2 linked regions of the Neodiprion lecontei genome follow. Each later gene encodes a partner of the first gene's protein in a complex. Links are inferred from orthologs where the notes say so. Each region holds a gene or a part of one and is shown on either strand. Other genes may lie near its edges.

Evidence for each region.
Region 2: RNA transcription, translation and transport factor protein (region 1) and protein archease-like share a complex: the UniProt entries of both Homo sapiens proteins name them as parts of the tRNA-splicing ligase complex. The link is inferred for Neodiprion lecontei from reciprocal best matches to the Homo sapiens genes RTRAF and ZBTB8OS.

Annotation. Positions count from the first base shown.
Region 1 is NC_060266.1:184,657-188,245, forward strand, and holds RNA transcription, translation and transport factor protein, read left to right. Parts: upstream 1-951; 5' UTR 952-1,074; coding exon 1,075-1,135; intron 1,136-1,238; coding exon 1,239-1,460; intron 1,461-1,553; coding exon 1,554-1,652; intron 1,653-1,745; coding exon 1,746-2,110; 3' UTR 2,111-2,858; downstream 2,859-3,589. Other genes in the region: probable serine/threonine-protein kinase nek3, read right to left, coding at 204-323, 447-528; AN1-type zinc finger protein 2A, read right to left, coding at 3,221-3,589. UniProt on the Homo sapiens protein: RNA-binding protein involved in modulation of mRNA transcription by Polymerase II. Component of the tRNA-splicing ligase complex and is required for tRNA ligation.
Region 2 is NC_060263.1:23,993,502-23,997,435, reverse strand, and holds protein archease-like, read left to right. Parts: upstream 1-1,203; 5' UTR 1,204-1,218; coding exon 1,219-1,358; intron 1,359-1,774; coding exon of another isoform or gene 1,775-1,799; intron 1,800-2,236; coding exon 2,237-2,441; intron 2,442-3,052; coding exon 3,053-3,238; 3' UTR 3,239-3,760; downstream 3,761-3,934. UniProt on the Homo sapiens protein: Component of the tRNA-splicing ligase complex required to facilitate the enzymatic turnover of catalytic subunit RTCB. Together with DDX1, acts by facilitating the guanylylation of RTCB, a key intermediate step in tRNA ligation.

The sequences.
Region 1 (3,589 bases):
TTTCAAAATACTTTGATCTTAATCACAAAAGTTGTATGAGGATAATTTCTGATTGACTGATTTTCCTTTCCCCTTTTAATGCAAGATTAAATAAACAACAGTGCCAAGTTCGGTCACCCTGTTATCAAAAGTTGGACAATCATATGATGAGATACAGTTGTACAAGATAAAACACTGAAGGAAAGTAAGACGTTTATTTGTACTTTTTCGATTGCGTCCCGATGCGGTTGACGGTGTTTTCATAGTCTTTGAGGAGGTGTTCGACATCGCCGCCGGCAAAGCTTCCGCATTCTCGTTGTCATCGTCGATAAGTGTCCGCTGATCTGAAATTTTAACGGAGACGATCCATTGGTTAGGGATGGCGAGGAACTCTTTCCATTTCTCGCCGTCCGATTTGAGAGGGCAATCTAACGGCGCGTGTTAATATTGACATGCTTATTGCTTACGCTTTCGAGTGAGGCGTTGGAATTGTCGTTGGGGTGCCGGCATGCCGCTCTCGTCGCTGCTGTGCTTCCTCTTCCGCACCATGTTTACCTTTCCAGAACCACAGGAACGTCGTAGACAGCGTTGAACCGATCCGCGATAACCGACGACAATTTTCACTGACGGATCAGAATTATTTGACGGCTAATTAAAATCTGTCACCCGTCTCTTTTCCCGCTATCGTTGCTTGCTCCCGCTGTTTTGCCCGTTTTTGCACCGCCTTCGGCGTTGAATAACGCTTTTCTCGTTTCAAAGTTTGAAACCGTTGATCGGGGCGCTGCTGCCAGCTGCCTTGGCATGAACTCGATTCATTGCCTTAGAATAACGACTCACAAGTGTATCCAGGGACATGCGTGAAAACGCGCCATATTTTACAGTCGAAAACTTCTAACAAGTCACGATCCCAACTATCGACTCGTTCGCGGGGTGTTGAGTGAATTTCATGCCTTCACATACTCTTTGGCGTTCACTTCCTTACAATGTTTACTCCGTCGATAATTGCGGTATAGCACTGACTTTCAGGTGTACTTTGTCTTGCCGTTAAATAAGAATTGTAAATAAATTATAACCGCGTAATTTTCCACTTATAAAATGTTTAAGAGAAAATTAAAAGCGCTAGATTACATAGACCGGGATAAGATAAACGCGAATGGTGAGTCGCAACCGGTTAGCCGGTACACATACAAAAATTTAACCTCCGGTCTCTCACAAGAGCGATAACAATTTTTCTGAAATTTCAATAATATCGTCTTTAGACCCACAACACTTTCGCAAACTGGTCGTCTGGCTCGAAGACCAAAAGATACGTCACTACAAAATTGAAGATCGAAAGGACATCAGAGATATAAATTCAACCAGTTGGCCCGAAACGTTCAAGAGATATTGCGAGGACGTCGCTTGTCCGATAACTACCCAGCCCGTGGATCAGCTCGAATGGTTGATCGGGTTTGCCATCAAACTGGAGTTCGAGGATAACTGTAAGAACCGTACCATGTTTGTTTGGGTACTACTGAATTCTATTTTCAGGCACTTACGAAAATTTGAGTTTCATTCAATTCAAACTATTGCAGATAAAAAGTATCAACCGATAACAGGCAAGAGTTTGAAAGATATGAATAAACCGGTAGCACCCAACATAAAATCATCAAACCCGTTAGACAATCTGGACTGTGAGTATTATATTTCAGACAAAACTTTTTGAACTTACGAACATGACAAATACCGGTATTCACATTTTTTAATTCTATTTTCGATGATTAAAGTTCACAGTGCAGAGTTTAAGAACGGAATTGAAGAATTACGAAAGCTACTTTGCATTCCTCGACATTCAGATCACCTTGTAACTCTGCAAGCGTGCAGTAAGATAGTTTGCATGAGACTGAATGCAGAAACTTTATTAAATCCAAAATCGATAGTGTTAAAGGGAAAAGAGTTTCCGATATTGGAAGCTGAGTTGGGATTCAATATGGGAGATCCAGTTCTGAATAATGCGGCAAAAATCTTGAGATTGCTGTACATTCAGGATTTGAGGGACCTTCAAACACGAATAAATGAAACAATTGTCAGTGTTCAAAATATCACTGCAAATCCAAGGACTGATACGAAGCTTGGAAAAGTTGGAAGATAAACAGTTAGTCATTACGATTCCCATTGCACATTTACACACACGAATGGGATGTTAAAAATTTTGCTGACGTTCATTGGCTAATATTGTTTGATAACAATAATTGATATCAATTTCTAACAATGAACCAAGTACTGCTATTTATAGACAAATTGATTCGTCATATGTTAGGCGTATTTGAATAATGGAATGTAACGATAGGTCAAAACTAATAAATAATTATAATATACAATCGCATTACATTCGTTGATTGTCTTTTTTCACTTGCTTGTATTGATATCGAATGAATTTAGATGTGAGGAATTCTTTGAAACCTAAGTTTAATGGATAAGAATATAACTCAGATTTCACAATATGTTTATAATAAATATTTATTGTATGGATAAGAGTAGAGGAAAATTTGCAAGTAAAGAACTTTTTACTCGTTTCATAACACAGTTTCTTCTTTTTTGTGTTACAATAAAGCTGGTAGTAACTATTTATCATGACGAATGTACAGAGGCAGTTTGGAACGTGATTTTTCGCAATGTGTATATAGATTATTTTTAAATTATTTACAAAAAATTGCGTAATTAATTAATCACTAGACAGCGATCAGAAGTCTTAATTTGTTACATCATTGCGATTATAACTAGACTTGGTGAAATAGAATTCATGATTGGATAGAATAACTAATAAGGATATGTTTATGTATAATAGTTGAGGAGACTTGATTTAAAATTTAAAGTGAATGTAAACGACTTAAGAGCAACTGACGAAAAAAAAGCTTATATGAAAGATACATAGTTCAATATTTCTTTCAAATTCTCATATATTTAGATTTATAAAACTAAAGCTTAATTTAATGTGAAAAAAGACAGAAATTCAGTTTCCTCCCGTAATAGGCTCAATTATAGAATAGGATTTTGAAAACGTCCAGTTTTTTGATCATCCATAGCTCGTAAGAACCCGCCTACTAATTGATATTTGATGCCTAATTCTAGAAAAGATTTAAAAAAAAAAAAAAAAAAAAAAACGCATCTTCAGCAGTTGACAAGTAATTCTACCAGGATTTCAACACGTCTGTTCTTCGTTGCCGTCACCGTTATATCGTGTTTATAAATTATAAAAGAACTAAGAGAGCCTGCATCTGCCTTTGTTCCCGAGTGGAATCTCTTCCTCTTGACAAGACTCGATCCTCCCGGTATTTTCTTCATCTTGAAGAGAGGCTTGTAAGGCCCTGGCCAAGGCTTCGTCCTCGCTGATAGTTCCTTGAAGATTCGTAAACAGGCTAGAATTGGCATTTTGATTATTCTGTGGGACTTGACTCTCGGCCTGTTTGTTAAGAGCTTCAACCCTCCGCTGACGCATGGTTTCCTCTTTTCCCACACAAGCGTGATCGCAGGGATGCCGGTGTTTCAAGCAAAAGTTTTTCCCGCAGTCCCCGCATTTGACCGCGACGATTTCCTTGATTTTGCAGCCCTTGGACGTACACTTGTTGGT
Region 2 (3,934 bases), on another chromosome or scaffold:
TTTATAACAGGGTCTTCAACTAACTACACTGGGTACGCATGGAGTACGTCATTCCTGGGACTTAGCATTTGCTTTTTGTTGACAACTGGGAAAATCATACTTAGTGCAGGCGGTTGAAAACGCTTGAGACTTTTCCTGAACTTGCCAGAGTCTTTAAAATGAAGAAAAGACATGCGGAGGTCGAACTCGAGGATCTCAAAATGTCCGTAGAATTGGAGCAAGTAGACGTCAGAACAACGACTGAAAGCAGTGTTATCACTGTTAATTAAAAGTTATCACTCATACAGAGTCCTTTATTCCTTGCTGAATACCAGCGATATGTCAATGTGGAAATAGTTAGAGATTCGTGGCAGTTTAGATCGTTAGCGCATCCCAAGATTGGTTGGCGCAGGTATCACGTGGTTCGGACCAGATCCACACTGAACACACGTTGATCATTGTGTTCCCTAGCGTACGGAAATAGCTGCTGCGACAATGCTGTGAGTTGGGGAGCGATTCATTGACCATCATTCGGAAACGAAAGCTGCTGATTGGCTGATTTTCAAATATTAACTAATCATGTGAGTTTCTCAGTTCTTTCGTCTTCGAAAGGTGGCAAATAAAATACACCCAATAACCGGCCAGCTAGGGAACTCAACGGTCGATGTGTGGCTCTGGTTCGAAACACGTAACAGCGCGCCAGCCAATCCTGAAACGCGCTTAGGATCTAAACTCCACGAATATATTCATTTCTACATTGGTATAGCACTGGTGTTCAGCAACGAATAAATAACCCTGTAAATTCTTTGATTATATAGAGACTGTAACGGCAGCCTTCAAAGTCATTCAGAATTTTTACAAATTCAATTTCAAAACAATGATGAATATTTTTCTTGCGAAAGTTCAAACTTGTACATAGAATTTTTTAACATCCTCGTTACAGCAGAGCGTTGAATAAATTATATTTCCTAGTTCGAATATCGTGAAATAAGTTTTTTTACCAAATCTATGCCACATACTTTTAGTGTGAATTCGAATTAGCCCGCGGTTCAACCATGCAGTGTGATGGTACTACGGCAACGATGAGAAGTTAGTTGTGAGGTTTAGACGTCGGTATGATGATTTGTGCCGCTTGGTGCTGCCACGCACCGCACAACAATACTCCAAGCATCCAACGGATGCTGTACGGTGGCGTCCTCTGATCCTGAGACTTCATATTTTCAAACTGGATAACCATTGATGACTCGCCACTCTGGTCTGTCAGGCAAACAGACGGAGGAACAGCTGATTAGCGTCTTCACGTGGGTAATCAGCTGTGAGAGCTACGATGGAAGATTTATCAGCAGAAGACCTAGCGATTCCGCCAATCAAATACGAATGTAAGAATATTAGTATAACGCTTTTTCATATTCCTTTACGTCATGTCAACAACCCGTAATTTCACAATTATTGTACGCCGGATCAGGCCGGCAAGCGTGAGCTCATATATACATGCACACAGTGTACATCAGCCGACCCGAACGCAAGATTTGGCGGGAAAACGAACGGGTTTCTAAAAACTTACCAGAAACCCATATTTTCGCATAAAATTTTCATTCTCCGACCATTATTACGAAAAAACGAACCACAGATTTACTACCGTTAAAAATTTGAATTATTATGGACGATCTTATCTCGATCACGCAATTATTTTCGCCTATTACGCGAGATAAGAAAAAAAAAAGGGAAAAGTTACCGCATTTTAGGAGCATGGCAATCACTGTTATGAAACAATATTTTCCAAATTTTGTTACAGATTTGGACCACACGGCTGATGTGCAGTAAGTTGTTGAAAAATAAAAATTGATCACCGCGCGTATGCATATCTATGTACAAAAATCCCGAGTAGGTATATTCTGTTCTGATAGTTCTCTGCCATTTATACGTTTGACTTTGTGTTAAAACGACATTGTAACAACACTACGTCATCGAAAAAAATAAAATTCGAAATAGAATGCGATCTATATACTCGTATTATTCCGTATACCCAATTGGTCGTTTTGAGAAGATGAAAAAAAAAAAAATTAAAATAAAAGTACGAATAACGGGATAAAATAATTTGCTGGGAATAACCAAACGAACGATACGATCATCAAATTTTGCGACAACTTCTGGTAATTTTGTAGCACATAGACGTACATGATGCATAGATATGCGCGTAAAACCTGTAAAGAATACCCAGGAGGTTAGAGTATAGAAAGAATTTAATATTTTATAGATTGCATGCGTGGGGAGAGAGTTTGCAGGAGGCATTTGAACAATGCGCTATGGCCATGTTCGGTTACATGACGGATTTGGACCGAGTAGAAATGACGGAGGTGCACCACGTGGAAGCCGAGGGAGACGACCTCCACAGCCTGCTATTTCATTTCTTGGATGAACTGCTTTTTATGTTCAGTGCAGAGCGTTTCATCATTCCCAAAGTGTGTGCGTTTATTTTGTTTACCCGGAATTTAGTCGCTAACCGCCGTTCTTGGAACGTCCAAATATCTCGCTAACCTTCAAACGCACAATTGTTGTTCGAAACGGAAAAGATTCCACGCTTGTATATAAATGGACGGAAGAAATGATGCCGAGATTCAAAATCGATATTACTTTGCACGGTTTTTTGGTTAAAAATAAATATATCTATCCTAATATACACGTACACCAAAAGTATACCTAAACATGTGTACGCGGTGCAGTATTACCGGAAGGGAACAATGACACACCCTGTACACAGTCCATTCCGGCCGTTATTTGAGTATACTTGAAAATGTACAACATGTGTCTCCACTTTACGTTGCACATGACGCCTAGTAGGTACGTTGAGACTCGCCACGGTAGATAGTTTACATTCACAACTACCTACATTCGTCAAGATTGTAATCTGTCTCTTGGGTAACATGGACGTAGATACGTTTGTAAAAAAAAAATACATATAATATTCAATCAGCAATTTTTTTCAAATATTCACCGATGAAAGGAGCTACGATTAGGAGATAAATTTGATAATAATAACAATAAGAACAAGAATTTTTTTTCTTGTCGGCAGAAAGTCAAGATCACTGAAATGGATCAAGAGAACTTCAAGATCAAGGCAACGGCAATAGGAGAAGAATTCACGCTGGGAAAGCATCCTCAGGGTACAGAAGTAAAGGCTATCACCTACTCAGCAATGCAAATACTCGATCGGCCGGACGCCGAGAGACCAGAAGTATTCGTGATCATCGATATTTAATCCGCTGTAGTAACCCGAGCAAGTTTCCCGACGCCTCGCGTGGTTGAGCCATTCGGACCCTTGGCTTGGGAAACACTTTAATTTCGAGGGAGGGATAGTTACCTCTCCTCCTCAGGCCTTTTGTAGATCGTAGGGTTCGAATAAATACGTTACGAAAGAAACACCGGGCCCCCTTCTTAGCCTCGGAGCGCAGGGCCGTGTCAACGTACGCGTGGACCTCCGCCCTCTCACTTTTATTTCTCCTTCCCGCTTCTGTTTCTTCCGATAGAAGACGTTCCGTCGATTCGTATACTTTTTTTACTAGATCCTCTTCATCGAAATTTTAAGGATCAAATAATGAGGTTTATTCATTTGTATTTATAATTAGACGTGGCGTTACTAAATCGATATGACCTAAGGAACAAATGTTAATACTATTTTCATCGAAAATATTCGTAAAAATCTGTTCGTGACATGAAATGACATAACTGTTTGTACTTTTTTGTATACGAATACAATAATATATCTCACGGTTTATAATAACTGAACTTTAACCCAATTCTGAAATGGTAAATCCCAATGATTTGCCAAGTCCCTCGTGCTCTTGATAATAATTGTAAGTGATGTAACCGCTAGTAATTCATTATAACGTGCTGCGATTACAGTCACATTAAAGAGTCACATAGGCGCATCTGCTCTTAAAATACATTATTGGTG